4 linked regions of the Notamacropus eugenii genome follow. The main gene of each other region encodes a partner of the protein of the gene in region 4 in a complex. Links are inferred from orthologs where the notes say so. Each region holds a gene or a part of one and is shown on either strand. Other genes may lie near its edges.

Region 1 (6,849 bases), on a different chromosome or scaffold from region 4:
ACTATCTTTTTTAAGTGATGAAGACAGGGCTTAGTTGTAGTTATACTAAGTAGCAAAGATGTGATTTGAAAAAACATCATCTTGTCTCCAAATCCAGTTCCCAAGCCCGGAATCCATCCAACTCCTGTTAGTAATGCAACGTTGAACTTCAGTTACCTCATCAATAAAACAGTATAAATATTTATACTTCCTGACAGAACTGTCATAAGGATCAAATGAAATAATACATGTAGCCATGTAATCATCAACTATTATTACAGAGCTCCTCTTAATCAGTTCCCCTAATAGGAATAATTGGTTCTACTTGACAAAAATTCTATATACACAGTTGTTGGTACACTCATCTATTACATATAGCAACAAATACCTATGTGGTCCATGTACATCTAAGGGTAGTGGTGATGACAGGTTCTGTAATTCCATATCTACACACTTAGTACCCTATATACAAACACAATGCAAAAAAAAATAGAAATTGCTTGTGTAACAAGGATAATGTTAATATCTATCAATTCAGCATTCTGTTAGCCTGCTACCTTTTTTTTTTAAATACAGTGTTTGCACTCCAAAGCACCTCTTCATTCACAATGAAAATACTATTTTCCCTGAAGAAAAAGCATGGAAGGGAAATTACATTTAACATTTACTATAGTATTCCACATTTCACAAGTATGATTTTGACGTTTTTACAATTTTAAAATTTTCAATAAACAGGTTTTTCTAAATATGTTTTGAAGTCATCTGTAAGCAAAAAATGCTTGGAAAAAAAAACCTCAACCCTGGACAGCTTGTCCTATATTTTCCGTATAAGTTACAACAAATGTGGCTTATTTTCCACTTCCAAATACTTTGGAAAAACTTGGGGTACTAGGAAGGAAGGCCTCATTTTTTTTCCTTCTTGAAAAAAATACCCCAAAGCCGTCCAGAGAAGACCACAGCCTCCTCGTTCAAAAAGCAGCCAGAGCAAGTGCCTGCAGCAGGAGCCGGCGTCGACGAGCAAGGCAGAGCTGGACCCCAGAGCTGCACAACTCAAGTGCCAGAAGAGGCCACCCAGAACCAAGCAGGCGAGCACGAATCCTCCCTCACGCGGAGCATGCACCTCCCAGCCTCGCGCTCCGCAGCTCTCACTATTTAAAGCCTGATCTGGGGTTTAAATGGAGAGCCGGTGACGTAGGGCTGAAAAGCACCTTCCCATCCTGGCAGAGTCTATATTAGAGAGCGCAATGGCTCTATATAAACAGGGCAGCCAAAGGGAGGAGGACCACAAGGAGCAGGGACTCAAAAGCAGGGGAAGCTGCAGCAGCCATGATGGATCGATCTCTCTCTGAGAGTGGCAAACAAGGGGCCGAGTCTCCACGGTACGGTCCTGGGCACAGAGGGTTTGCTGGCCGCATTTGGGGAGGGGGATGGCATTTTTTATTGTTATTAGTCTTATAATAAAGGAGAGTCGGGTGGATCGAGGATCACATGGCACTGGTGACTGCAAAGGTTATTTATGTGACTGCTTTTTGCAAACCTATGTGACTGCAAGTAACAAAAAAAATAAAAGGACCCGGGGACGGGTGGGGGAGACGAGGCGGCATTTCAGGCGGAGGGGTGCCTTGGTCAATGTCATTTTTTTCCTCTTGCTAGTCGAAGGTATGACGGGATTTTGTTTCCCCTTCGCCATTTTAACGATTCTAAAGGAGATGGGACAAGTGCTTTTCAACCTTCTTTTTCCAACGTAAAATGGCCCCATCCAGCTCCAAAGAAATCAACCACCACAAAACTCAAGGGTCGCCTCACACTTCGCGCTAGTCCAAGGCATCCTCGTTAAAAAAAAAAAGGAAAGAAAAAAGAAAAAAATAAAGAAAAGAAACCTCCCCCACCCCCAGCACACTGGATCGGGGCGGGGTCTGGAAGATTAATCTTCTTCCCGAGCCCCGGATTTCTCCCCCTCCATGGGGCCAGCGCGGGCTTCGGGGACTCCGTCTCCCCGTCCGAGACGCGGCCATAGCTGTCGGCTGCCCCGCAGGATCCAGCTCCTCTCTAAACTCCTCCCCCCCAAACAAAACCAACTCCGCTTCCACCGAGACCATCTTAGGGCGGTTTTCTGGGGGGAAGGGGGCGGAAGGAGAGGGTCTCTGCCCCGTCCCCTCCCCTTTCTCAAGTTTTCAGCCTCTTCTTTCGCCCGAGTGGAGACTAACCTGGGGAGAGCCCTCCTGACACCCTGAAAGCGCGGCTGAGAGCCCTCCGCTTGGACCCTCGTCTCCCCCGCTTCTCCCCCCTCCTCCTGCACCCCCCTCCATGAGCCCCCCGTTCTGGCCTCCACCCCACCCCCCTCCCCCCGCCCTCGGCCCAGGTCTCCCCTTCGGCGGGAAGAGGTGGCGGCGGCGGCGACAGCGAGAGGAGGCTGAGGGTGGGGGCGGGGAAGGGGGAAAAGAGTTGATCCCGGCTCCGGCTCCCGGGCCCGGGCCCCGGGCCCCCAGCCCGCGCCCGCCCCCGCCGCCGCCGCCGGTCACCGAGTCACATCCTTACCACGGGGTTTGTATTTGCCGAGTTCGCCATTTCCACACACAACACAACAACAAAAAAAATTTAAAAAAAGAAATAAAAACAAAAAGAAAAGAGACCCCGACTGTAACCAGATCACCGAGATTTAAAAAAAAAAAAAAAAGAAAAACGAAACCGAGTCCCGAAGGTGGAGTAGGGGGAAGGGGGGGGCGGTGAGGGGGGGAGGGAGTCCTCCGGGAGCTGAGATCCTCGAGAATCGCCCTTAAAAAAATTGTGACCCTTCGGGGGTCCCGGGGAGCGTTCCCCGCCCCCCGCCCGGGGCAAAGGAGCGAAACCGCCACCGGTCGCCGCCCCCCGCGCTGCCGCTACCGCCGCCGCCGCACGGGCTGCAGCCACCAGCCGTCTTCTCCGCCCGCTTCTCTCCTTTATATAGTGAGCCAACGAGCTGCGCGAGCCACCACCGTCGAGAGACAGGGGCAGGAGGAAGGGGAGGGGAGGGAAGGGGGAGGAGGGAAGGAGCGGAGTGGGAGGGGAAGGAGGAGTAAGGAGGGGGGGGTAGGCGGCGCGAGACAACGCGAGAGCGGCCGGGCGCACGCACGCGTGGGGGCGCGCGAGACTGCCAAAGGGACTCTCACGGTGCGAAGGTGAGGCCCTCCCCGCCAGGCTGCGGAGCTGGGAAATGGACCGACTTACTCCCGCCCCCCCCACTCCCAATCGCCTCTCGTGCCGGGGTCACGTGGTTTTGCCTCCGCCGTGACCCAGGCGGAAGTTTCTTTTCGTGTCTCTGACTTTGGAAAGATAAGAGTTAAAAAAAAACCAAAAAAACCCGATTAAACCGGCCGAAGGGAAAGGCGGGAGCTTCAATCGAGCAGCTCGCGAGTCTCGGACCGGCCGCCCGTTCTTCCCTCCCCAGGGGCGCGCCCTCTCAGCTCGGCGGAATTTCAGAAGTGGCGCTCACTTCAAGCCCGGTTAGCTCCGGCCTTGGGGTAGGCCGGGGATGAACGGGTCACGTGACTCTCCTGTCCCAGCGAGCCGGGCGCTGGCTTAAGTTTCGATCTGCGGAGTCATCACTCCCCGAGCCGAGGGACACCTGGGACGAGCTCCTCCTGCCGCTTCTCGGCCGCAGCCGCCGGGTCGCGCTGCTCGGGAAGCCAGCCCTCCGGCGTTCGCGCCTGAAAGCCTCTGCCGCCCGCGGCTCCGGCGAAGGGAACGGGGTGCGGGGTTCTGTGCGCTTATGCACGCGTCATTTTTAAATGGGGGGAGGGGCCTCTTGGTGGGCACGTGCGTGCTTGTCCCGACTCGGTTATCCGACGCTGCCGAAGTCCTGTTGTAGAAACGGTAGATTGACACTTGGTATCCGCCTTGACCGACTGGAGTATTTCCAGGATTTACACCCCAAATCATTTCAGTTCGTGAGCAACCCCGACTCCTTCCCCAGCCGCAGTTCGAGAACTGCTCAACATGGCAGGACTGGGTCGCCCCAAGTGCGCCTCCCTGGAGCCCTCTCCCCACGTGTCTCCTCTTATTGTAAGGGGGGTCTTTGCCGGGTTGTTCTGTAATTCGTCCAGGTCGCACCGTGCGTGGCGCACAGCGAGTGCTTCTAAGATGCTTTGGCATTCAGAGCTCTCCACCACCCCCCTTTCCACCCCCCAAGAAGTACCCCAAACACTGCGATTCAGGGGCACGGGCGCTGCGGCGCCCTCAAACAATGCGCTCCATCTCCCGGGAGTGGAACGTTGGCCGGAATTCAGCCCCTCGCCATTCTTGCCTTATACAACAAGTCTCTCCCTGATGCCCCTTCATCACGCAGCTTGTTTGTGCGAGGCTGGCCGGGATCTGGACAGCAGGGGGTCTTCTCTCTGTCCTCGCATTCCTGCGCTTAGCTGGCCCACAGCAGGCACTTCATGCGTGTGTGTTGTCATCGCGTACTGCCTCCTGCACCGGCGTTCTTACCAGGTTGCGGTTTAAATCCTCTACAGCTGTACGCTATTTACCTTTATTTAAGACAGCAGTGACGTTAAGTAAAAATCCTAGATTCTCCGAAGACAGAAACAGTGGCGAGGGTAGAAGCACAACAGCCTGACTCTTCCCTTGTACCCCAAACTGAGAAGTCACAGCCCCCATGGATCCAGAATGGAAATCACCAGAAAGCCAGCAAACTCAAATTTTTCTTCATAATTCTATGCAATGATACCATATTATTAATCATCATTATGTGTGCCTATGAATCATACAGTTAGCATATCTAAGGAATTGGGGGAAGGATCCTATTTGGCACTGGGCAAGGCTGAAATGACATTTTTGTAGAAATGATACCAAGTTCAAATGAATCAGCAAGAGCAGTCTTAAAAGGAAAAAAATCACGAAATGTGGGCTCTGAAGGGGAAAACACAGAAAGAAAGAGGAGAAATGAAGGTTATGAACTTAAGGTTTTGTACTAGACTCAGGTTACCAAGCCACTTCACTCTTATCACTCTCCAGATGCCTCCCCTGAGTCACTACCTACCTCACTCATCACAAGGCTGCACCACGTAGAAGCAGAACTCCCTAAAAGGAGGAGTCCTATCTGTCATCTAGGAATAGTTGAGCGTGTTTTATTGTGTTCTGATCTCAGCTAATCAGGGTAGCAAATTATCCAGAACAACATTTTTATCCACTTCATGACCATAGCACTCAGAAGTGGAAGGAACCTTAAGAGATCTGGTGCAATGAGGTGAGGAAAATGAAACCATGAAGAGGTTAAGTGACTTTCCCAGGGTCACAAAGTAATAAAAAGAGCTAGGATTGGGATCCAAGTTCATTGCTTTCCACAACACACCACAGATTCAGAGTGTATAACAAGTTTAAAGATCATTTGGTAGACAATACATCTAGGATTCTTATCCCAGTGAGGTTAAATCAGTTTTAGGTGTTGGGTTAGTCAGGAAGACCTGAGTGTGAATCCTGTCTCAAATTCTTACTTTGTGGTTGAGTTGTCTTACTCTTCATGATCCCATTTGAGGTTTTCTTGGCAAAGATATTGGAGTGGTTTTCCATTTACTTCTCTAGCTCATTTTACAAATGAGGAACTGAGGCAAACAGAGTTAAATGACTTGCCCAGGGTCACACAGGTAGTAGGTGGCTGAGGCCAGATTTGAACTCAAGAAGATGAATCTTCCTGATTCCCAGCCCAGCCACTGTGCTATCTAGCTGTCCCTCAGACATTCACTAGCTGTGTGTAAAGTCACTGAATCTCTCCGGTCTCATTTCCTTATTTGCAAAATGAGGGGTTTGGACTCAACGAACTCTGAGGTCCCTTCCAGCTCTAAATCTGTGATCTTAAGGGCCATTGCCCTTATCATTGTCTTGACTTTTGTCTTGTCACTGGACTCCAATGACTTTGAAGGAGAAAGCAAGGCTAAGGACTACAGCCCTGCCTCAAATACAGTCCATGAGTAAGTCAAGACATCACCTTCATGGTGTCATTGGTTCTCTTAAAGAAGGAAGAATCAACAACAATTTCAACAATTCTGTGACCTTAAGATAACTGGGGAGGTTGGGAGAGTAGGACAAAGAAAGATAAGCAACTTGAGGAGGAGACTAAAAATTCAACAGGTACAGGGATACCTGAGGACAGATCCCCGTATTTGTATATGGTACTTTAAAACATTGTTAAAATTATTTGTCGATACTTGAGTTATCTGGAGAAGAGGTACTATAAAACCTAATAAGTAAATAGGTACAACCAAATTTCCTTCAACTGAATTGAAATGACAGTGCAATTCCTTTCTATTGAATGAAATTTAAATATACTCCTCAATCACTTCTGCAAGCATTTATAGAAGGCCTAGTAGTATATATTCAGCACTGTATTAAGAGGACCTTAAATTGACTACATATTTGAACGTTTTAAGGTTTAAGGTTTTAATCGTGTTCATCCTTCATCGCCAAAGAAGACCATGCCATCAGAGAAATGATAACATGACTTACACTTGACTTTGTTTTCAGTGAGGGAGGGCTGTGCAGGTCACCAGCCTCACTTCTCCTCCAGAGCCATCTGAATCCAGTGACCAGATATTCATCAGGATGACTGGAGATGACCCAGGATGCACTGGGAGACCTTGGGCCCTTTAGGCCAAGGTCTTTGCAGGTATTCACTTAGGGTGAGGCAATACCCATTCATTGAATAGACCTGTTTAAGAAATAGTTAGGGCATGGCCCCTTTGGATAGCCAAAAGATATCCAGTTAACTTATTTTACTAGCCCCTTCCCCTCCCTTCCCTTCCCTTCCCTTCCCTTCACTTCCTCCTATTCTGTCCTGTCCTATTCTGTCCTGTCCTTTCCCGAAACATTAAGCCTATTGTACTCTGAAACCGG
Region 2 (7,309 bases), on a different chromosome or scaffold from region 4:
TACTGACTGTGTGAGCAAAGGGAAGAGTGGCTTTAGTCTCCTTTTGTATCCCAGGAGTTTGGTTTTTATTACGTGTTTCCTGACTGACTGAGAGATTCAGCCAAAAGATGTTGTAGAAAAAGAAACAAGATTTGGAAACTGTCCCAGTCTGTGGGGACAGTGAGAATGTATGAGGACTGAGAATGATGACGAGATTGTGAACGTAGGTGATGCAACAGGGAAGTCCAGAAGAAGGGCAGCTTTGAGTGGAAAGACAGTGAGTTGTTTTGGACACATTAAAGTCAGAGATGCCTAGATATAGCCAGTTCAAAACATCCAACAGGCAGTTGGTAGGATGCAGGATGCGAAATCAGGAGAAAGACCAGGATTAGATCCAGGTCCAGTATATAGGACCAGTATACTGGTCCTGGACCAGTACATCTCCAGGAGTCATCTGTGCAGGGACAATAAGACAACACAGTCTTATGTTGAGAAGGCATAAAGAAACACATGAGAAGGCATAAAGAAAAAAGAGAAAAGGAACTGGGACAGAGTCCTGGAGGGCATCCCCACAGTGCCTGTCTGGTACACATGAGCCTATTTAGGTACATGTTGTCTCCATTAAATGTAAGCTCCTAGCAGACAGTGACCAGTTTCCCTTTTTCTCCATACATCCTGCACTTAGCACAGTCCTTGGAACATCAAAATGTTAATTAGTGCTTGATGACTGAGTGATTCTACTCCTTCCCCTTTCCCAAGTCTTCCTTCCCCAGAATGACAGGAAGATTCAATTGCCTGTTCTTTGACCTCACAGCCCTTTCCCCTCTCTGCCACACTATGGGTACTTTCTCCCCCTCTTGATTTCACTAAGATGACCTTCCCTAAGATGATCTCCCCACCATCACATGTGCATACATCAATATTCCTCTACTCCTGTTCCAATCCCACACCCCCCAGTTCTCTCCTGGGCCTTGCAATGACTACATTCTCCTCTGTTCCCCATCTTCACCTCACTGAACCAGTTCACCTCTCTGCTGTCCCCTCTCCCCCTTCCCTTGCCCCCTTGTCCTGTCTCCAATCTTGCCCTGAAAAGCCCCAGCTTTGATCTGCTGTCACCACTGGCTGCCTGCACTCCTGCTCATGTGATGCTGAATAAAGCTGGAGAAAAACCACAAAACCAAAATAACTGGATCCAGTACAAACATGTTACATAACTCATCTGGGCCCTCACTGCAGCAAAGCAATCCTTTTACACTCATTCAGAGAGATCCCTCTTCCCCCTGTCTCATCATTCAGATCTTTTTCCCTCTCTCTTCTCCTTCACCCAGTTCACAGAAGTGGCAAGAGACCCCATTCCATCCTAACCGCCCCCTTGCCACCCTCACTTTTTCAGCCCTCTTCAATCTCTCCCTACCGGCTATGCCCACGTCTCCCCCATCCTCATGGATCCTGCCCGGTTGGTCTTTTCAGCAGGTCTCCAATGTGTCCCCATCCCCTTGTACCTGGACTCTGGGGGGGGGGGGTCATCCTGCCCCAGTCCCTCCCCACTCCCGCTCATCCTCCATTCAGTCCCCAGACTAATTTCCCTAAAGCAAGTCCGACCACGTCACCCCTCCCCCCCACTTCAGGGGCCCCCGAAGCCGACTCCGCTCCCAGGCCCCTCCCCGAGCCCTCCCTCGGCTGGCCCGTCCCCGTCGGGAGCCCGCCCGGCATTAGATCGCGGGGCACAGAGCCGGCACACGGTAAGCGCCCAAGTAGCTGCTCGGATACTCCCCGGAAACGGAAGATGGGGAAGAGTCCGGTCTCTTCAGGGGAGGGGCGAGAGGGTTCAAGGAGGAGTCGGGGGGCGGGGTCTCCTGTTGGTCGGGGAGGAGGGAGTCTCCTCAGGCTGAAGAGAAATGTGGGGAAGGGGCCTCTTCAGTGACGCACGGCTGGGGGCGGGGCCTCCCCGGGGGGAGCCTCACCTCGGTCAAACTTCTTGCCCTCGGGGTCGATGTCCTTCACATCGAAAATGTCCTCGAACAGGATGCCGGCCATGGCTGGCCGCGGGAAGCGACGGGGGCCAAAGCACCGCAAGCTCGAGGCCGGCGCGAGAGCCGCGCAAGATCAGGGACCGCGCGTGCGCAGAAACGCGGCACGCGAGCTAGGGGCGGGCGTCTACACGCAGTTCCGCTTCCGCTCCTCCTCTTCACCGTTTCCCGTTCCACCCCCTCTCGCCTCGGGCCGCTGGCCTTGTCGCGACGCCGTTCGGAGAATGCGCACTTGGCCAAGGGGGTGGGACCCGGCTCAGCGCCTGGCTCTCCGGGCACTGACTCCGCCCCTGCCCCCCACGTCCTGACAATTGCTCGAGCTTCCTCTCCGCATCCCGCCTCCCCACACAGTCCCTAGTACAGGCCATGAATCTAGCTGTGTGTCCCCGAGCCGGAGACCTTGAAAACCTGGACGGCGGCGGGTGGAGGATAGAGCTGTCCCCGCCCCTCGACCCCGGTAACGCCCCTCCAGGTCCCAGAGAGCAAAGGACGGACGCGGGTCCTGCCCACAGTACCGCCCCCCAAGCCCTCTAAGGCCTATAAGGACGCTGGGCCGGTTTCCCCGCCTCCTAGACCCTGCCCCTCCCCCCAAGCTCGTGCAGGCCTTATGAAGATGCCGAAAGAGAGCTCTTCCTGCCTCCTCTCCCGCCCTCTGGGTCTGGCTCCGCCCCGAATTCGTTCGGACCTATAAGAGCGCAGAATAACCCGTCGTCCCGCCCAAGGCCCCGCCTCCCATCTCAGCTCCACCCCTGGCCGCGACCTTGATCGGGCGGCTCAGAGTCCAGTGCCAGCCCCGCCTGTCCACAGGTCGCCCCCGGGCTTCGGTCCCCGACTAGGGCCGGGCCTGGGGGCTGGTGCGGACCTCGCCCCGCTCCTTCTTCTCCTCCTCCTCCTCCTCCTCGGTCGGGGCCGGGGGAGGTGAGCACGGCCGGTCCTCGAGGTGACTACCTCCCCCGGGCGACCGCAGCCGAGGTCCTGGGGCGTGGCCCCGCCCTCCTGGGGATCTGCAGTGAGATCATCGGGTGGTAGCCCTGCCCCTTTCCCCGGAGCAGCCCACCCTGGCACTGTCAGCCCGGCACAGTCTATTTCTGGCACTGCCCACGCTACCTGTCTCTGGTGCTGCACACACCTGGCACTTGCCCACCCCACTCCACCCCCGCTCCATCCCTGGGCACTCTTCCCTTGGCTGACAATCCCTCTCCCCACTGCCTGCTCCTGCCCCCTCACCTGTCCTAGCAGCCTCCTCCCCCACCCGCATTGACTCCCATGCTCTGGAACTCGCTGCCACTTCCATTCTTTCCCTACTGGGCTAGCACGTCAGCAGCTCCTCAGGTTTCGGGCCTGGGGCCCTGCCAGGAAAAGGCGATCTCTGCCCCCCCACACCCCTGCCTAGTTAGGGCCAGTCTCAGGGGAGTGGCCTCTACAACTCCCTCCTAGGTTCTCTCCTTTTTCTATCTTCCCCATCTTCTTCCCTAGTCTTCCCCATCCCCATCATTACAACCTGGCCAGTCATAGCCAGGCCCAGCTCTCACCAGATACAGCACCCAAGAGAGGCACACAGACATAAAGAGAAAAGGGAACCATGCCACTACCACCACCACCACCACCACCACCCCCAAGGAATTCAGTTCCTAATATCCTTGCTATCCATGTCACTTCCAAGGATGAGTCCATTCTCATTCTGGTTCCAGGAAGATGCCCTCCTCCAAATCACTCAGTTTTTTTCTTCTTACCTCTAGCTGATCAAGCCTTCTCCCATTGAGAAATCAATTCAACAAATTCTTGTTAAGTGGTCCATACATACAAAAATTACAGGAATATTTAGACATAACAGACAAAAATGAAATAGTCCCTTACCTTCAGGTACTTGGATCCTACAAAGAGATGCAAAATGCCCAATAAAATACATCAAAGCAAAGGAGAGACTCCAGAGTACTCTAGGATATTTTCTGGATGGAGCTAATACTTTTGCCTGGAGAGTTTAAGGAAGACCGACAGAGGTGGCACCTGGGCTAAGCCTTGAGGGAACAGAAGGAGTCTAAGGAACAGATAGAAGGAGGGAGTAAATTCCAGGCAGGGCTGCTCCCTTGGTCACTGCACTGAGGCAGGGATATTAATTTCAGGGAACTAATAATCTAACTTGGTTGAATAAATGAATAAATTTTTTAAAAGCCCTTATCAATCACTCCCTTTGTGCCAGGAACACAAAGGAAAGGTAGAGTAATGTGAAATAAACTTGGAAAGGTAGATCAAAAGAAGCAGATTGGGGAAAACCTTAAATCCTAAGCTGAGAAATTTGAAATTCCTAGCCAAGGGATCCACTTAAAAGTTCTAGAATAGGAGAATCATATTCAAGTCTGTGCAGGTCTGATTTGGGACCCCATAAAGAATGGATAGAAAAGAGGAGAGACTAGAGGCAGGAAGGCCAGTACACTCCAGGTAAGAGGTAAAGAGAACATGAATGAACAAAGGGATCTTGGATTAAAAAGAGAGGAGCTTCGGGCTTGGAAAAAAAGTTGACATCTAGAGAGTGTTTCTCAGTTATTGTAGCCCTAAAATGACCCTGACCTCTTAGACTCTCCTTAAGGGCAGGGACTCTCACTAGCATGTGGTAAATGTTTAATCATTGTTGGTTAACTGATTGATTACACCCTCATCCCTTCAGTTTCTACCTACAGAATGATGCTGGGGCAAGATGACTGGAGTTAGAGTCAGAAGACCTAAGTTTGAAAAGACAAGTCACCAACCTGCAAAATGAGCTGGGGTGGACTGGTGTTTCCAACTAGGATTCTAGGATCTAGGATCCAGGAGGAGCCGCTAGCTCCTTCTGTCCCTACTTCAGATTCCCTCCTCAGTGCCCTCACCAGAAATCCTGATTGTCCCTAAATGAAACTTCAAGAACTTTCCCCTAAGTCCCTAGTTCTGGAGTGATGAGGCTGGAATAGACTGTGAGGGAAGACAAAACGAATAAGGAAAGAAGAGAGCCCAACCTTGGTGGGAGACCAGGTGACACAATTCAAAGCTTGTTGCCCCGTCAAAGACCCAAATACAATTCTCGCTCCCTGATGTAGCTAGCACTCTATGGCTCCGCCACATTGGCCGGTGACCCGTTGGCTTGGGCTGGTATCCCTCTCCCAGGATCACCGATTTCGCTCTAACGGTTATCTCAAAATCACAGGGTCATAGATCTTAGAGTTGGGAGGATCTTAGACGTCCTCCGTACAACGCTTTCATTTTAGAGCTCTGGAAACTGAGGTTTGGTAACTTTTCCAAGGTCACACAAAGCTGGACGGAAACCCACGTCCCCTGCGTCGGTTCTTCCAGTCTGGGGGCGGGACAGCAGAGCTCGGCAAGGCCTTGGAGGGGAGGGATTAGCTCCCAAGTGGGAAGGGCCAAGAGAGCTGAGGGGGAGCTGTCCCAGGGAGAGATCTCAGATTGTGGGGCGCTCCCCCAACCCTGCGGGACCCCCCAGAAGAGCCTGGGGCGGGGGGTGGGGGGCGCAGTCCCTCCCGCGGCCTGAGCCGCCCCCTCCGGGAGGAGCAGCACTGCCCAGCCCAGCTCAGCTCCTCGGGAACCGCCCCTGGCCCGCCCGGGAGGGGAGGAGACGGGAGGGAAGTGGGGGAGACCACACCGGGCTCGGGCGGCACTCGGGAGCCTGCGGGGACAGGGCTCGAGCTGAGTAGGCAGTAGTGCCGGGAGGGAGGAGAACCCAGGCTTGGACCACTGAGCCTGAGCTGTCTGGAGTTGGAGCCCCAGGCCAGGCTGTCCTACGTGGAGGAGATGGCGGCGGCCGCAGAGGAAGGGATGGAGCCCCGGGCTCTCCAGTATGAGCAGACCTTGGTGAGTGGAGACCCCTCGTAGCCAGTCCTGGATCTCTCTCCACCCGCCGCTGGGGCTGCAGCTTGGGGTAGGGGGCGGGCGGGGGGGCGGTTCTGGCCGGGCCTTAGTGATTACCGTATATGCCTCTTTCCCCTGTCCCCCTCACCGCCCCCCCCACACACACACACATACAAAGGAGCAGGAATGAGAGATCTACCTATGTGGGGAAACTGAGGCAGGTATGGGATGAATAACTGAATTGTCAGAAGAGGTTAAGATGTGAATGGAGGAGCTAGGAGTACTAGACAAAGACTCCAGGTCAGCAAGATTGTCCCCACCCTTTCCCTTACCCCTTCTACCTCTCCCCTGGGCACAGAGCAGAGCCCTAGCACCACCCACCGCCAAGTTCCTTGACCTTCCTCTTCTCTGTTGCTCCTTTCTCTCCGGCTCCATCTAGTACCTCCACTGGCCACTTTCCCCATTCTTGTTGAACTCTTGATCAGCCCAGAGTTGGGCTCAGACAGAGTTGGGGGTGGTGGGGCATCTCTTCTAGTTTGGGATGGTCCAGTTCAGCCTGAAGCCAGACCCTGGGTGGTAGGGTGGAATGCAGGCCCAGCTCCAGTCCTGGACCTTGTGTCCTCTGACCCCATTAGGGGGCCTGATGACTGGGGCTCTGAGCTGGGATGACTCACTGGGCTGATCTCCACTATACTTTGGCATTCCAGCTTCCATTTATCTCTTGCCAGCACCCACGGGGAGGGCAGCCAGGGTAAGGGGGTTCTCCCCAGGTTAGAATCCAGCAGCTGGGATGGAACCTCAGCCACGGGGAAAAGCAGAGGAGTGAGTGGAAGAACTCCAGGCAGCATGGACCAGCACTGAGATCAGAGACTGCCAGAGGATAGTTTGTCTAGAGACAGTAAATGAGGGAGGGGCTGGTCAGCAGGCTAATGGGTGGGAGGGAGCTCAGGAACAGGAACAGCTGAGGAAGAGGAACAAAGGGAAGGTGAAGGGAGTGAGACTAGATGAAGATGAGAAAAAGGGGGAGAGACCAGAGATGTGCTGGGGCTGGGGGAGACGTCAGGTACTTTTCGCTGGAAAAACCCAACGTGCACATGGGACGATCTCTCAGGGGGAAAAGATCCCTGCGCTGTCAGCACTGAGAGGCTCCTATCTGAAGGGGCCTGTCTGTCTCCCCCGACCCCTTTCCCCATCTCTTTGTACAGATCAGCCTTCAGTCCTGAAGCCTTCTTCTCTCACCTTTTCCATCTTTTGCTACGTGACGCTTATTCTGTCTTCTGGTTCCATTTGCCTTTTCTTTACGGCGACAAGTCTTTCCTTTTCTCTTTTTTCCCTCTCCCTCTTCTATACTTTCTCCCCCTTAACATTTTTTATTTTATTTCCTTCCCCTTTGTCTTCCATTCTTCCTTCCTTTCTCCTTTCTCCTTCCCCTTTCCTTCTCCCTTTTGATTTCCCTTCACCTG
Region 3 (7,625 bases), on a different chromosome or scaffold from region 4:
CCCCAACGTGAGCTCTAAGGGAGGTAGGCCAAGCAGCAGTGGGGGCCCAATTAAGGCTGTGTGACATATATGTGAAGAGGATCCCATTAGAACGATTACATAATGTTCTCCATCTTCATTCAGCAGAAGTAAAAGCACTGGTTGGCAGAGCACCACTGACAATATAAGGAGACCAGGAACCTGAGAAAAGAGAACAGCACAGAGCTGAACTGGTTCAACAAGGGTTTAATAAGGGGAAAAGAGGAGAGAGTGCCTAGTACAGATGACCTAGGAGAGAACTAAGGGTTGAGGAACTGGAGGCCAAGGTGTGGATGAAAAATAGGGTTTACAAAAGGAAGGCCAAGGGAGAGGTGGAAAGTCAAAAGATTATGGTCAGAAAAGGTGATTTCAGAATTCTTGAACATGCAGGTGGTACATCTGCAGATGATGGAAAGACCAACGGTTATCTTTGTGTGTAGCTAAGGTAGGATGGAGGAGTGAGGTCAAGGGAAGTTAGTAGTATGAGCAACTGAGTGCTTAGGGTGTTTGAGGGTGAGTCAGTACATGTGCTGAAATCCCCTAGCATAAGGGGAGGAGTTAGGAAGGAGAAAAATCGTAAGCCAGGTATTGAACTTGCTGAAGAAGGAAGGAGAGAGATGTGAGTAATTGGAATAAAAAACTGATCAGCTTACTATTTGAGTTTAATTATATATAAGAAAGGGAAAAAGTGAAATACCACTTTGAATTGATTTTTCAAAATTATCTTTTAAACAGAAAATTAATCTCTCTTCTAGTTCTGGAAAAACTTTCCTTAGCCTTTTTTCAACTTAAAGTGCTTCAATACCAGAAAAAAAACTATATTCTCAAAAATAAAACAAACTCAACATTAATAGAGCAAATTGATAAAATGGTCTAATTTTATAAAATATTAAATTAATAAAGTGGTGGAAGTCCATGATACACATATGTTTAACAAACCATGCACTCAGCACTTGACCCAATGCTTCAAGGTACTATGTTTGGAGCTACAAGAGATTCAAAACTCAGTAGTTCCAGCTCCATACACAATAAGATTGCTCACAAGATAATTTTTGTACCTTTCCTATGACATTTTGTTATATAATACTGTGGGAGTTGAGAAGTGGAAGTGATTTTCCCACCTGGGAAGATCAGGAAATGCTTCATAAAGAAGATGGCAATGATTTGACTCTTCAAGTATGGGTATGATTTGAACAGATGAAGATGAAGAGGAAGATATTCCAGGCAAAAAAGTCTTTAATATAATTAAAGGGAGAGTGATGGAGTAAGGAAGAGGCATGTTCAAGAAACAGAGTGACTAGGCCAGTTTGACTGGTGCACCAAATACAGAAAGAAGAATAAAAGATAAAAATTAGAAAGGCAGCTGGATTTAAAAAATGGAAAATATTAAATGACAGACTGAACTGGACTTTTATTCAGTATGTAATGGGTAGTCATTTAAGTTTTTTGATCAACTGAGCAGAGTATATGATTCCAGTTATATTTATAGGATTATTTCCCTGGCAGGAGTATGCAGGACAGATTGGGAGAGAAAGCACAGGCACTTAATAAATATTTGACTGATTGACTGACGAGAGAGCCTGGAGACACAAATCAATTAGAAGGCTACCACAATAATTAAGGAAGAAGAAGAAGAAAGGGAATGGAGAAGTGAACAATCAATAATATTTGGCAATGTACTGGACTAAGTAACGGAACAGAAAAAGGAAACAAAGAGGTCTGAACTCTGAAGTTGACTGGGAAGATAGTAGGACCAATAATAAAAATAAAGAAATCAGAAGATAGAGTGATTTTGTGAGAAAAAACACCCAAACACCACAATTACAGATAAAGCAGAAAACACCATAACCATAGGTCACTTACTTCTTGCTACACGACTGGTAAAATTACTTTCTTCCTGTTTCACAAATACTAGAAAATAAGAATAAATGTACTTTACAAATCATTATATGTATATACTACATATTTATGTGTTCATTTTTAATAATTATCTCCAAATTTCACATGTCCTACCAAACAAAACTTACCCTAAAAGCTTCCCTGGTGTGGCTCCACTGTTGACTACAATTCTGTAATAGTCTATGGTTAAAGAATAGAAGGCTATAGACATCAGACTCCCTTTGATACCAGTAAAGTCCTGAAAGGCATGCATTATATTAACTGCACTGTTGTTTTCATCTCCAGCCCTCCACACCACTTAGTTCAGTACTCTGCCCTTAGTTATAATCAATAAATGCTGTCCAATGACCCTAAAGACTACTGGCAAATAAAATCACACTTCATGGGAAAAAGATGAATGCTGAAAGCTGTTTCTCAGGGTTGTTTTTTTTAAATAGTCAATAACTCATCTAGGCCAACAAATGATTTTTCAACCCTTAGAAGTTTTGGATCATTTCAGTTTTTAATGACCCCTCTTAGCTTTCTTTTCTGATTTATTAGGCTCAGTGCAGAACCTGCTTTTCTTTTCTCTCCACACTCCTTCACTGGAAGACCTAATCAGCTCCCATGGGCTCCATTACCATCTCTATGCAGGTGCCATTCAACCACACTAGACATTTCAAACTGAATGCCCATAGGCATCTCAAATTCAACATACCCAAAACAAAATTCATTCTTTCTCTCTTTTTCTCTCAATCCACCTCTCTTACAAACTGCCCTATTATTGTTAAGGGTACAACCAGTCATCTAGTCACCTAGGTTCAAGACCACAGTGTCATCTTCAACTCACTTTCAATTATCCCATCTCTCCAAATCAGTAGCCAAAACTTATCACCTCTGTCTCCGCAAGGCTCCTATACATCCTTCCTTCTCTCCCTTCACACCTCCATCCCCACTCCCACCCCTCCATTCAAGTTCCCTATCACCTCTTACCTAATTTGTTATCCTTACTTCAAATCTTTCCCTAATTCAATCTCTCCTCCACACACCCATCAAAATAATTTTCTAAAGGACAGGTATGACAATGTCACCCCACATTCCCTTACTCAATAAGTTCCAGCAGTTCCCTATTATCTCCAGGATCAAATATCAATTCCTCTGGCATTCATATCTCTTCACAACCTTCTGTCCTTCCAATCTTTTATGTGTTAATCCCCTGCTTGCACTCTTATCCAGACATACTGGCCTACCTGCTGTTCTGCACACAAGGTGTTCCACCTTTCATCTTCATTTCCCTTCTTTGTGGCTTCGAATAAAAAGGTGAGTTGTCCTCTGTACCTCGTATGAACTCCCTCCTCACCTCAACTCAAATGTTACCTTAACCATGAAGCCTTTTCCTGATCCTTCCAGCTGGTAGAAACTTCCTTCCCTTCTATTCATTTTGTGTATATATATATACAAACATATATGTATATGCTTATATATGGACATGTCTCCTCCATTAAAACATACATTCTTTGAGGGCTGGGACTGTTTCAAATTTGTCTGTGCATCCCCAACCTTTAGCACAGTGCCTGGCACACGGTAGGGACGGTTTAGTGAATGACTGACAGGTTAAGTGACTTGCCTTGGGTCACCACAGCTTAAATATTTGCATTAGAGATAACTCATGACCTGGGAAAAAAGAGAGACTGAGAAAGAGACAGAGAGAAGGAGGGAGATAGAAAAAGAAAGGGGAAGAAAAGAAAGAGAGAAGAGACAGACAAGCGAGAGAGGGGAGGGAAAGACAGAGGAACGGAGGAAGAGGAGACAGAAAGAGACATGGAGAAAATAGAGAAAGAGACAGAGAGAGACAGAGGAGGGAGAGACAGGCAAGAAAGGGAAAAAAACAGAGACAGACTGGACGCGAGTGGAAGGGGAGAGATAGACAAGACAATCATAAACAGACAGCCAAAAGACAGAGAGCCCAGGAAGGTGAAGAGAAAGGAGAGAGAGAACAGAGACAGGAGAGATGAAAGACAGGAAACAGAGAAGGGGGAGAGACAGACAAGGGACAGGAAAAGAGAGATAAGACAGAGAGAGGGTGGATCGCAGTAAAGTGTGAGGGAGGACATCAAATTGCACAGCAATAAGAAGTGAGAGGGAGGCGAGAACATTGGTGCAGCCAGGGCAGACAGCTGTCTTCCAGAAGCCTGGCTGTAAGAGGGAGCTGTACAGACGGAAGACGCAGAGGGGAAGGCACCCACCACCCACCTCCAAAGGAAGCAAAGGGAAGCAGGAAGAGGCGCACGCGCACTCACGAGCCAGGGCCCAGCTGAGCACGCCACGCCCCCCGCCTAAGCAGTCAGTCGGTTAAGGGCAAGGCAGGACAGCGCCGGGCACAGCCGGGCAAGGCCAGGGTCAGCCTCAGAGAAGCAGTAGGGTGGCCCGCGCAGCTTCTCAAACGGGGGTGCTCCCGTGGCTCCGCTCCATCCCGCCCCAACGTATCCGGCTCCGAGCCTCCCCAGCCCCCGGAGGAGTCACAACTGACGCACTCCTCGTCCCTCCCCCGCTTCCTTCCCACCTACCTGGCTGCTGCGGGCGGATCGTTCCCGCCCACAGCCGAACTGGATCTGGTGGGGGGGGGGAAGGAAAGGAGGAGGATAAGGGAAAAGACCCACCCCGATCCGCTCCCGGGCCCCGGCGCCCAAGAGCCTCTGCCACTGGCGCGGGCACGTGACCCCGCCCTCCGTTCCTCCCACGGGTGTAGCCCCGCCCCCTCTGCGTAACCTCACCGACCCGACGCAGAAACCTACAGCGCAGGCGCACTCCGCTGATAATTCCGGCGAGCTGCAGCTGGGACCTGGCTGGTCGGAGGTGCGTCGCTGTTGTTAGGGATTGGTAGGTGGTGTAGCTTCCGGACTCGAAGGTGAGAGGAGTACGCCTGGAGTGGCCGAGGGATAGCTAGGCCCAGGGTTAGCCACCCCTTCCTCTCCCTGCCGTGCTGCCTTCCTCAGGGGCTGCGGAGCGAAGGCACGGCCTTGCCCCCCCTCCCCCAGCCCGCGGAGGATCTGGAGTCCTCGGCGTGTTGGGTGCCCAGAGCAGGACCCGGGAATGTGAATAATAATAGTAATTTACTAAGAGCCGATTTTTACGTAGCTCTTTAAGGTTTGTCAAGCCCTTTACGTAACAACGCTTTTCATTTGTTGTCTCACTTCAAGCAGCCTTCTCAGGCTGCCGTGAACCCTTCCCCCATCCCCTTTTATTGTGACTTAGATTGATTGCATCTCGGCCTGGACTGTCTATCTATTACCGGTCCCAAGCTCGGACCCTAAAACACATCCAGGTCCTCATCCCCGGGTTTCTGTAGGCGTCCAAGTGCCAGCAAATACTGGGTTGGATGTGGTCCTGGATTATTTTTTTTTAAAAAGCTAGAATACCCAACTATCCCTAATAGTTAATTTTTTTTCCTATTCACTATGTCCCAGCCTTTACTAGAATGAGTATTTAGAATTTTGTTGTATTCCATATATTTAATGTGTGCAATTTGGTGAACAAAATTACACTTGATGATAGGTTAAATTTTAAGGGAAAGTCAATGATGACAACTGAGCTATATTTTCTTTGTAAATATGCTTTATCGTCTTTGAATCAGAAGTGTTGAAAATGACTTTTGTGGGTTTATGTAGTAATATCATCATTTTCATTATCCTTATGTTTCTTTTAGTGAAATGTTAAAATTGATTATTGATTGATTTTTTTTTTAAATTTTAGTTCACTTCGTCCCTTTTGTTGACATCATTGACAGCATTTGACACTTGTAACTTGGAGAAAATGGTGAATGTCTTGAAAGGCGTACTTATAGAATGGTTAGTACTTTTTCACTTATGAGTGTTGATTTTCTCACTTACTTTTTTTTGTTCCTACGAAGCCCATTAGTTTCCTCATTTATAAAATTAGATGATCTGACTCAGTGATAATCTAAGGCCACCTCCTGCTCCTTGAGATTTTATGATTCTAAGTCCCAGTGAAGCTTTTCCTGATTATTCCAGGCCTTTTTGGTTTTCCTTTTCCTTTGAACCACCATTGAACTTAGATGTTCTACCCTCTGGTTTGGTACTTAGAATCACACATTCTTAGAGGATGTAGGACTACCAGTTGACACTTTTCCTTCTCCTCTGCTAACTTCTGACTCTTTGAGGAACTGTGCTCTATAGTTCTCTCCACTTAACAGCAACCACCAAGTTCAAGGCACTGTGGGGACACTGGTGTACATTAAGTAGTTCAAAGCAAAATAGAGTAGCCTCATGATTGACTGATGTTAGTTTACATAGAGAAATAAAAGATACAATTGGATGTCTTTTTTTAACTTGGGCTATTTATACCTCTTTTTGGAGTGTCTTGCAAGTTTATGTTGATGCGTGGGTAATTGACCTGATTATATATTCAGTAAGTCATAATTCACATTACATGTGGGGATGTTCTCTAATCAACTTGATGCATTTTACAGGATGTTGAGAGTCTTGAATTTGGATTGTGCCTTTCTCTGAAGAGCATAGACACTTCCCTGTATATTCTTTAGGTCTCTTTTTAAAGACTAGTGATTGTTTCATGGGTTGAGGATAAATACAGGCTTTGTTTTTTAAACAGCAGTGGAGATTAATTGTTTGGCACTAGAATGTTTCTAGTGGTGTCACTACCCTAGAACACTACCACTATAGCTATTCATTCTCTTCTCTGTAAATGGGAGTAGTAGTTGTTTCAGTTTTCTTTCTCTTACTTCCCATTTGGGATTTTCTTGGCAAAGATACTGGAGTGGTTTGTCATTTTCCTCCTCTAGCTCATTTTACAGATGAGGAAACTGAGTTAAGTGATTTGCTCAGGGTCACACAGCTACTAAGTGTCCGAGGCAGAATTTGAACTCAAGAAGATGAGTCTTCCCAACTTCAGGCCCATCACTCTATCCACTGTGGCATCTAGTTATCCCTAAATGGCAGTAGATGTTTTAAATGCTATTGAATATGCTAGCCTACCTTCTGGAAGATATGATAAAAGTTCTAAACAAAAGCTCATCATACCTTAAAATTCATCAAATGAACTTAAATAGAGTTTTAAGTTTTAAAAAGTTCTCTTCTTACAACAGCCTGTTAGGGCAGGCATTTCAGCTACTACCCCATTTTACAAAAGAGGAAATTAACTTGCCCAAGGGTACACAGCTAGTAAATATTAGAAGTAGGATTTGAACCCACATCTTCTTGATTAGTGGTCTTTCAGTTGTACTGTTTGCCCTTGAATGGAAGCTTTAAAAAAAAAAAAAAGATACAAGTGGCACAGACGTAACATATTAATGCAGATATCTTGATTATGCAAATACTTTACTCAACTTATTTCTCAGAAGCAAAGAACACTATTCAATTCAAAGTATTCAAGTAACTTTCTGAGGTGAGAAATAGAAAATGCTGGACAGTTAAAGGATCCCAATATTTTCTTAAAGGTTGAGAGATCAGCAATACATTGAGAAAATTATGAAAGGAGCTTCTCTGTGCCTACACACTTTCTAGTTTTAGCTTTTTTGGTGTAGTTGCTCTAGATGATCATCTCGGAAAAAAGGCTTATACTTCCTGTGTACACATCCTCATCAGCACCCACTACAGTCTAGTTCCCATCATTCAACAAAAACTTTAATCCTCACCACTCTACTGAAACTGTTCTCCCCAGAGCCACCAGTAAGTTCCCAGTTGATAAATCCA
Region 4 (6,867 bases):
AATAATAGCATTGTTCAAGAAAAACAGCATTAACGAGACATAAAATATCAAGAAAGCAAAGGAAGATTCAGAGACACAAACAGAAGGGTACAATGTACTGTATGCTTAAGAAAAAAACAAAGTTATACCTAAGTTTCAATTTCATATACAATTCTCTTTTTCTGTTTTTTTGTCTATAGAAATTATATTTGTTGATGGCTATACAAGTTCATAATAAAATCATTAAATTAGAAAAATAAGACAATTTGATCTTTATGGCAGAAAAAAAAAGGAAGAAGCCATGTACTCCAATGTAATTTTACAGATGAGGAACTGAGAGTCAGAAAAGTTAAAATTCTTGGCCAAGATCACACTGGTCTTAAGTTACTGATCTGCGCACAAATCCAGGCCCTTCCAAATTCAATGCTCCTTTTACTATACCACACAGTCCCTTGGGATCAAGCACAAATGCATAGTTTATTTGGCATCAAAGGCACTTCATCACCAGGATCCAGCTTGTCTATCCAAGTTTACAACATCCCTCCCCTTTGTGAACTCTTTGGTCTCTGGCTGTCCCTCACACAGGGCACTCCATCTCCCTGCCTCTGCACAAGCTGCTCTCTTCTCTCTCCCACCTTTGAGAATCCCTATTAGCTTCCTCAGAAGTTCATCTCAAGCACCACCAAAACCAAAGCAAAAGAAAGCCCTGAACTCTTATGTATTTTGTACATATGTGCACGTTGTCTCCTTCAATAGGATGTTGGCTCCTTGAAGACCAGGCCCAGTGCCTAGCAAGTAGTAGGCCTGACACATAGTAGGAGCTTAATGTTTGCTGGCTGAGTGACTCATAATGAAGTGACTTGGGATTTAGGAGCCCTGGGTTCATGTCTGTGCTCTTACACAGACCACTTGGATAACCTTGAGCAAATTACTTAAATTCTCTGGGCCTTAGTATCCTCATCTACGAAAACGTAATGATGAGACTTCCACTATCTCCCTGAACAGGTTGTAGTCAGAAAAGGACTTTCTAAACTTTAAAACACCACGTAAATTATTATCTTTACCCGGCAAGCGAGTTCTTATATTATTGTCTTTATTGCTATTTAATTTTATTCACTTTTTCATGTGCTGACGTGCGTCTCCAACTACACCACAAACTTCTTATAGACAGGGAACACAGATTCTTTATATCGATCACAATGCCTACCCTAGCAGGTATTCAATAATTATTTCTGGATTGATTCAACAGCTTTATGAAATTGTCTTTAAACATGACTAGAACTGGTAAGAAGAATTAGAGCACATTTTGAAAACATGCCAGGATTGAGAATCTGATCAATTCACAGAAAAATAGTTACTGCAGGTGTAATACAATATGAACAAATTAATAAATACATATCTCCTCCTTTGGCCACTCACAGGGTCCATTTGAAATGTGACAATAAGAATGACACTGTGATGAAAGAGGCCTAGAAGCCAGTGGCTTGGCACTTAAGAGGGTTCAAAGCGTGCCTCAGGTACACACTTTATGGATTAGGCTCCTATGAAGTCTGGTGGGGAAAATCAGCGGAGAGGGGCTACCCTCCCACTATCACATCTATCACAACCTGCTTACCCATCCAAGTAATGATCTCCCACCACTGTGCCTAAGCCTGAAGTGCCGTCCCTCCCCCTCTAAAGCTCAACTCCAACATCACCTCTTCCACGAAATGTACCCTGATCCATGCTCACCTTCTTCCTCTCCAACTCTAACCACTATTCTGTTCTGCCTCTGCACCATGTGATTAGCTAACCTCTCCAGGAAGCTTCATTACCTTCCTCCCTTCTACCCTTAAACAACTTCTCCTCTTTTCCTGTTCAATCACTTGTCAAGTCCAACTCTGTGACTCCATTGGGGTGTGCTCCAGCTCACTTTACAGAGGAGGCCCCTGAGGCCCACAGGGCGAAGGCAGCATCCGAACTCGGGCCCAGCGCTCTATCCGTCCTCGGTGGCCGGCAGAGAAGTGACCACATGGCCGGCTGGACTTCTCCGAGCGCAGTCTCCTCCGTCCAGACGCTCCGCTATCTTCCTCCTCCGTCCTGCTCTCTACGGCGCGCTTCTCCCTGAACTTCAGTCACCCTCTTCCTTGCCGTCCTAGACCCACACTTACTACAACCTGCGGATCGTGTCCGTGTACCAGGAGGGCACAAGCCTCATCCCCTCTGCCCTGCACACCCCGCCCCCCCCCGCGCTCACCAGGGGGTCGCCCCCGGGGCCCCAGACTGCGGCCCCTCCCACACGACCGCATGGGACGCGCCGGTTGGACCGGTGGATCTAACCATCACGCTAAGCCTGGGCTCCAAAGCAGACTCGGACACTTGCAGGCTGTTTGACACCCGCGCCCTCCCCGGACTCCCCGCCACGCCGGGTCACTTGGCCGCTCGGTGCCTCAGTTTCCTCCTCTGTTAAATGAAGGAGCGGGACTTCCAGCTCTACACGGATAACCTCACGTTCTGCTCTTACTTTTCTGGGTGCATGTTATGTTTCCCCCAAGTCCAGCCTCCCAGTCTTTGCGTTCCCAACCTCACCCCCTACCCCAAGTGCTGAGTGGAGTGAAACACTGTGACAGTAACTGTCCCGCAATCCACGCTGGGACTACCCCCTGGAGCTTGGGGGAGAAAGGCGGGACCCCCGGTGGGGGAGGGGGCGTCCTGGGGGGCTGGGCTCAGTCGGCCTTTACCTTCACCAGCCACACTCCAGTGTTTTGTTTGGCGCCGGTCAAGTCGAGCTCCCCGCGCTCGGCCATGACTCTGCGCCGACGCCGCCGCCGCCGGTGGAGGAGAAGGGGGCGCGGGTCCGAGGAAGGAAGTCAGGAGGTCTGGGGCCACCGGCGTCGCTCCAAAGCCGGGAAGCGGCTAGTTTGGGGGAGGGGAGCACGCCGCTCCGGAGACCGGGGAAGCCGCGCCTGCGCACTACGTCCGAACCCTACGGTGCCTCGTGGAGGACATACATCCTTCGTTCCGCTCAGGGAAGTGGGCGTGGCTTGTGAAGTATTTGGACAGGAGCGGGGAGCGGGGATGCCGGCTCCTACCGGGCTGTTCCGAGAAGAGGCGCAGTTGTAGATCTCTACGCTGTTGCTTAGTAGGGCCGGGCTCCCCAGAAGGATTACAGAATAAAGACTTGCTAAGGTGTGATGGACGAGCTGTAGATGGACCGGCAGCTGGGGAAGAGCCTGGGGAGAACGTTCGTCAGCTCCCAGAGGAGAGCTCAGGTGACTTCGCCAAGGTCATGCACAACATTTTTTGCATTCCTTACCAAAAGTCTTCCCATGGCTCCGAGCTCTCCAGGGTGCTGACCTTCCCCACACCCTCTCCCCAGATTTCTCTATTCCGTGACCCTCCTCTCCATAGTGATAAACATCTGTTATCACTCAGAACTGCTCCATCTCCGAGAAGCAGTGCAGTGAAACTCCCTCTTCTAGTCACTGCTATGAATGAGTGCCTGGACAGGCATAAAAGAAAATGCATTTATTAAGCGCTTATGGTGTGCCCAGTACCGTGCTAAGTCCAGGGGGATACCAAAACAGGAAGGAGATGGTTCCTGCCCCCAAGTACTTATTCTAGTAGAAGGAAGTTACTGTAAAGGGTGCTTTGATTTGGGAAGTCACTGGGATTGTGAATGATTGGCAAAAATGTTGATGGCATGTGGCACTTGATAAATGTTGACTGATTGATTGACACTACCTTTCCAGTGACAATTGATCCAGTTATGGTTCCAGCTAAGTCGGGGAGGGCTCATTATGCATCAGGGCAGATGGCAAGGCCCATGGATCTGGAGGGCCTCTCAGTAGACAGGGTGGATAATGGAAAATAAGCATGCTAGAATGTGAAATATTACTAAGTAAGGCTTGATGAAATGGGCCAGATGATACACGCAGCACGTGTATGCTACATGTATTCAGAGCAGAGGGAATTATTCTTTTGATAAGCTTTGCAGACTTTCCTGGGTTTGTACTTCTCCTACTCCCCACTTGTCGTGGTTCCCTATGTTTTTATCTCACACCCTCAAATACTTTGTATATAGCTTGTATTTACATATCTATGTACATATTGTCTCCTGCGGTAGAATATAAATAAGGCTTTGAAAACAGAGACTGTTTCCTTTTTTTATTTCCTATGCTTAGCACAATAAATGACACATATGATCCAGGAGAGGAGACTAGAAGGGTCCTCAGAAGCCATTCCAGCAAGCCCCCTTATTTTACATTTCAGGAAAATGAAACCCTGGAAGATTAAGTCACTTGCCTAAAGCCATACAGGTGGTAAGCACGAGAGGCTGGATTTGAACCCAGGCGCTCAGATGTCAAAACCAATTTTCTTTCCACTAAATCACACATTGCACTTAAGAAATCCTTGCTGAATTGAATTGAATTGACTGATGATTTTCAGGCCCTCTACCCTTTTCTTTTCTTCCAGTCCTTCATTCCTTCATTTCCTTTCTGACTTCATTTGTGTCTGGGACCCCATGGTCAGCAGTTGCAATGCTACCTTACCAATTCTGGGTAAAATGATACTATACTATACACTTTCTCTGTTATTGGTTCTGCACAGATGCTTTCTATTGTGTAAACTTGGATCAGTCCCTTAGCCATCTTGGACTTCACTTCTCTTATTGGTGAAATGAGAATTTTGGACTAGTTAGCCTTTGAGGTCCCTTGCAACTCCAGATTTATAATATTATATTATTCCTGGATGAAATCACAAATCCAGAACCACTGACTCCTGCATAAATTGACATTATTGTCACATTAGGTGGGCCTTGCTGAATGCCATGTACTTTTTTTCTATTTGATTCCATTTGAACGATCAAATTCCCTCCCACACCACTATTTTAAACCTTTTCCATTTTTCCTCAGATTGCTAGGTTCGCTTTCATCATAGCATCATAGATATGGAACTGGGAAGGACCATACAGGTCATTTAGTACAAACCCACATTTTACAGATGAGAAAAAGGGTCAGAGCCGGGACATGATTCACCCACAGTGGCACTGGTAGTAGAGCCGACCTGCTCTGACTCCAAATTCAGCAATCTTTCTACCAGAGTCAGGCAACAAGTATTTTTTTTAAAGTACTGAATATGTACCATTCACTTTGCTAAGCAATAGGGATAAAATGAAAGGCAAAAAATAGTCCTACATCCTCTGGGTGCTACATTCTGTGTTAATGACCTTAATGTCTACATTAAAGTGATACTTATTAAAGACAGGTACTACAGGTTGTTGCTATATACAGATACATAATACCAAAAAAAAATTTAGGACCAAGGATTTAGGTTATTGAGTCAAATATCAGTAAACAATCTCCACATAAGAATTTTTTTATTCCTTTGTCTTTCTCATTTATTTTTATTTTTTTGTTTCTGTTTTTTTCTTTTTTAAAATGTATTTTTAACTTAAATACTAAAACTTAAATACACAATAAGAAAAAGAAACATATTATAAACTTAAATATCAAAACAATACAATATAAGAAAAGAAAAGATGAATTGTCATGGGCACAGCAGAACATGAAAGGATTTGCAATACACAGCAATAAATTTCCGTTTCAAGACAGTCTATATAATAAATACTACACATTGTGTTCTGAGCTGTCCATCTTTGTGTCCTTTAAGTTTTCTTTTGTTCTCTGCTGTGCTCTCTTTACTTGTTCTTTCCCCTGCCCCACCCCCCTGCTTCCTTCTCTATCCCAGAAGGCTACAATTAAGTTCAGATATATATGCATAAGTATACATATAAAATACATACATGCATACATACATATACCCTTACATGCATACACTTGCTTATACTTACATATACTTAGATATCTATAATCATATTAATATATAGACATATACATTCATATGCATCTATGTAAGACTGTACTAGACTTATTTGTCCACTGTTTCTCTGAGAGTGGATAACCTCTTCTTTTATAAGTTCTTATTCATTTTTAAGGAAGACTAAAGGAAAAGTTGAGAAGAGCGATATGAGATGGATACGTATATACACGTAAAATCATTCTACATATACTTCTATTTGTCATTTTTTCCTCTGGATGCAGGCAGCATCTTTTATCATATGTCCTTTGTAGTTAATTTGGGTATTTATAAAAGTCAAAATGACTTATTTGCTCCAAGTTGTTCTTAAAACAATATTGCAGTTACTGTATATGTTGTTCTCTTGGTTTTGCTCATTTCATTCCTCATTATTTTATACATCTATCCATGTTTTTCTAAGACCATCCAGCTCATTATTTCTTATAGCACGGTAGTATTCCATCATATACCACAACTTGTTCAGTCATTCCGCAATTGACAGGCATTCCTGCAGTTTCAAATTCTTTGCCACCACAAAGAGAGCTGCTATATTTTAGAACATATAGATTCTTTTCCTTTTTCCCTGATCATCTTAAAACAGAACTAATAGGTGGTATTGCTGGATCAAGGAGTATACAAAATTTTACAACTCTGGGCATAAATACAGATTGCTCTCCAGGTTAGTTTACAGTACCACCAACATTGTATTGGTGTCCCAATTTTTTCATATTCCCTCCAACATTTGTCATTTTCCCTTCTATCATTTTAGCCAATCTGATAGATATGAGATATCTTAAAGTTATTTTCATTTGCATTTCTCTAATCAATAATGATTTAGAGCTGTTTTTCATATGACTATATTAGCTTTGATTTCTTCATATAAAAATTTCCTGTTCATATCCTTTGTCAGTTGGGGAATGACTCATATTCTTATAAATTTGACAGAGTTCTCTATATATTTGACATATGAGACCTTTATCCAAGAAACTGTCTATAAAAAACTTTCCCACAGTTTTCTGTTTTCTTTCTAATCTTGGCTGCATTGGTTTT

Evidence for each region.
Region 1: GTF2F2 (region 4) and GTF2A1 share a complex: the UniProt entries of both Homo sapiens proteins name them as parts of the TBP-based Pol II pre-initiation complex. The link is inferred for Notamacropus eugenii from reciprocal best matches to the Homo sapiens genes GTF2F2 and GTF2A1.
Region 2: GTF2F2 (region 4) and POLR2H share a complex: the UniProt entries of both Homo sapiens proteins name them as parts of the TBP-based Pol II pre-initiation complex. The link is inferred for Notamacropus eugenii from reciprocal best matches to the Homo sapiens genes GTF2F2 and POLR2H.
Region 3: GTF2F2 (region 4) and GTF2H5 share a complex: the UniProt entries of both Homo sapiens proteins name them as parts of the TBP-based Pol II pre-initiation complex. The link is inferred for Notamacropus eugenii from reciprocal best matches to the Homo sapiens genes GTF2F2 and GTF2H5.

What each region holds. Positions count from the first base shown.
Region 1 is NC_092878.1:65,974,231-65,981,079, forward strand, and holds the start of GTF2A1 (transcription initiation factor IIA subunit 1), read right to left. Parts: upstream 3,002-6,849; 5' UTR 2,548-3,001; coding exon 2,518-2,547; intron 1,877-2,517; exon of another isoform or gene 1,633-1,876; intron 1,359-1,632; exon of another isoform or gene 1,240-1,358; intron 1-1,239. UniProt on the Homo sapiens protein: TFIIA is a component of the transcription machinery of RNA polymerase II and plays an important role in transcriptional activation. TFIIA in a complex with TBP mediates transcriptional activity.
Region 2 is NC_092873.1:56,975,351-56,982,659, forward strand, and holds the start of POLR2H (DNA-directed RNA polymerases I, II, and III subunit RPABC3), read right to left. Parts: upstream 3,006-7,309; 5' UTR 2,017-3,005; coding exon 1,944-2,016; intron 1-1,943. Other genes in the region: CLCN2 (chloride channel protein 2), read left to right, coding at 5,790-5,849. UniProt on the Homo sapiens protein: DNA-dependent RNA polymerase catalyzes the transcription of DNA into RNA using the four ribonucleoside triphosphates as substrates.
Region 3 is NC_092873.1:251,843,800-251,851,424, forward strand, and holds the start of GTF2H5 (general transcription factor IIH subunit 5), read left to right. Parts: upstream 1-4,616; 5' UTR 4,617-4,752; exon of another isoform or gene 4,753-4,804; intron 4,805-5,649; 5' UTR 5,650-5,709; coding exon 5,710-5,744; intron 5,745-7,625. UniProt on the Homo sapiens protein: Component of the general transcription and DNA repair factor IIH (TFIIH) core complex, which is involved in general and transcription-coupled nucleotide excision repair (NER) of damaged DNA and, when complexed to CAK, in RNA transcription by RNA polymerase II.
Region 4 is NC_092877.1:295,657,798-295,664,664, reverse strand, and holds the start of GTF2F2 (general transcription factor IIF subunit 2), read right to left. Parts: upstream 3,012-6,867; 5' UTR 2,766-3,011; coding exon 2,700-2,765; intron 1-2,699. UniProt on the Homo sapiens protein: TFIIF is a general transcription initiation factor that binds to RNA polymerase II and helps to recruit it to the initiation complex in collaboration with TFIIB.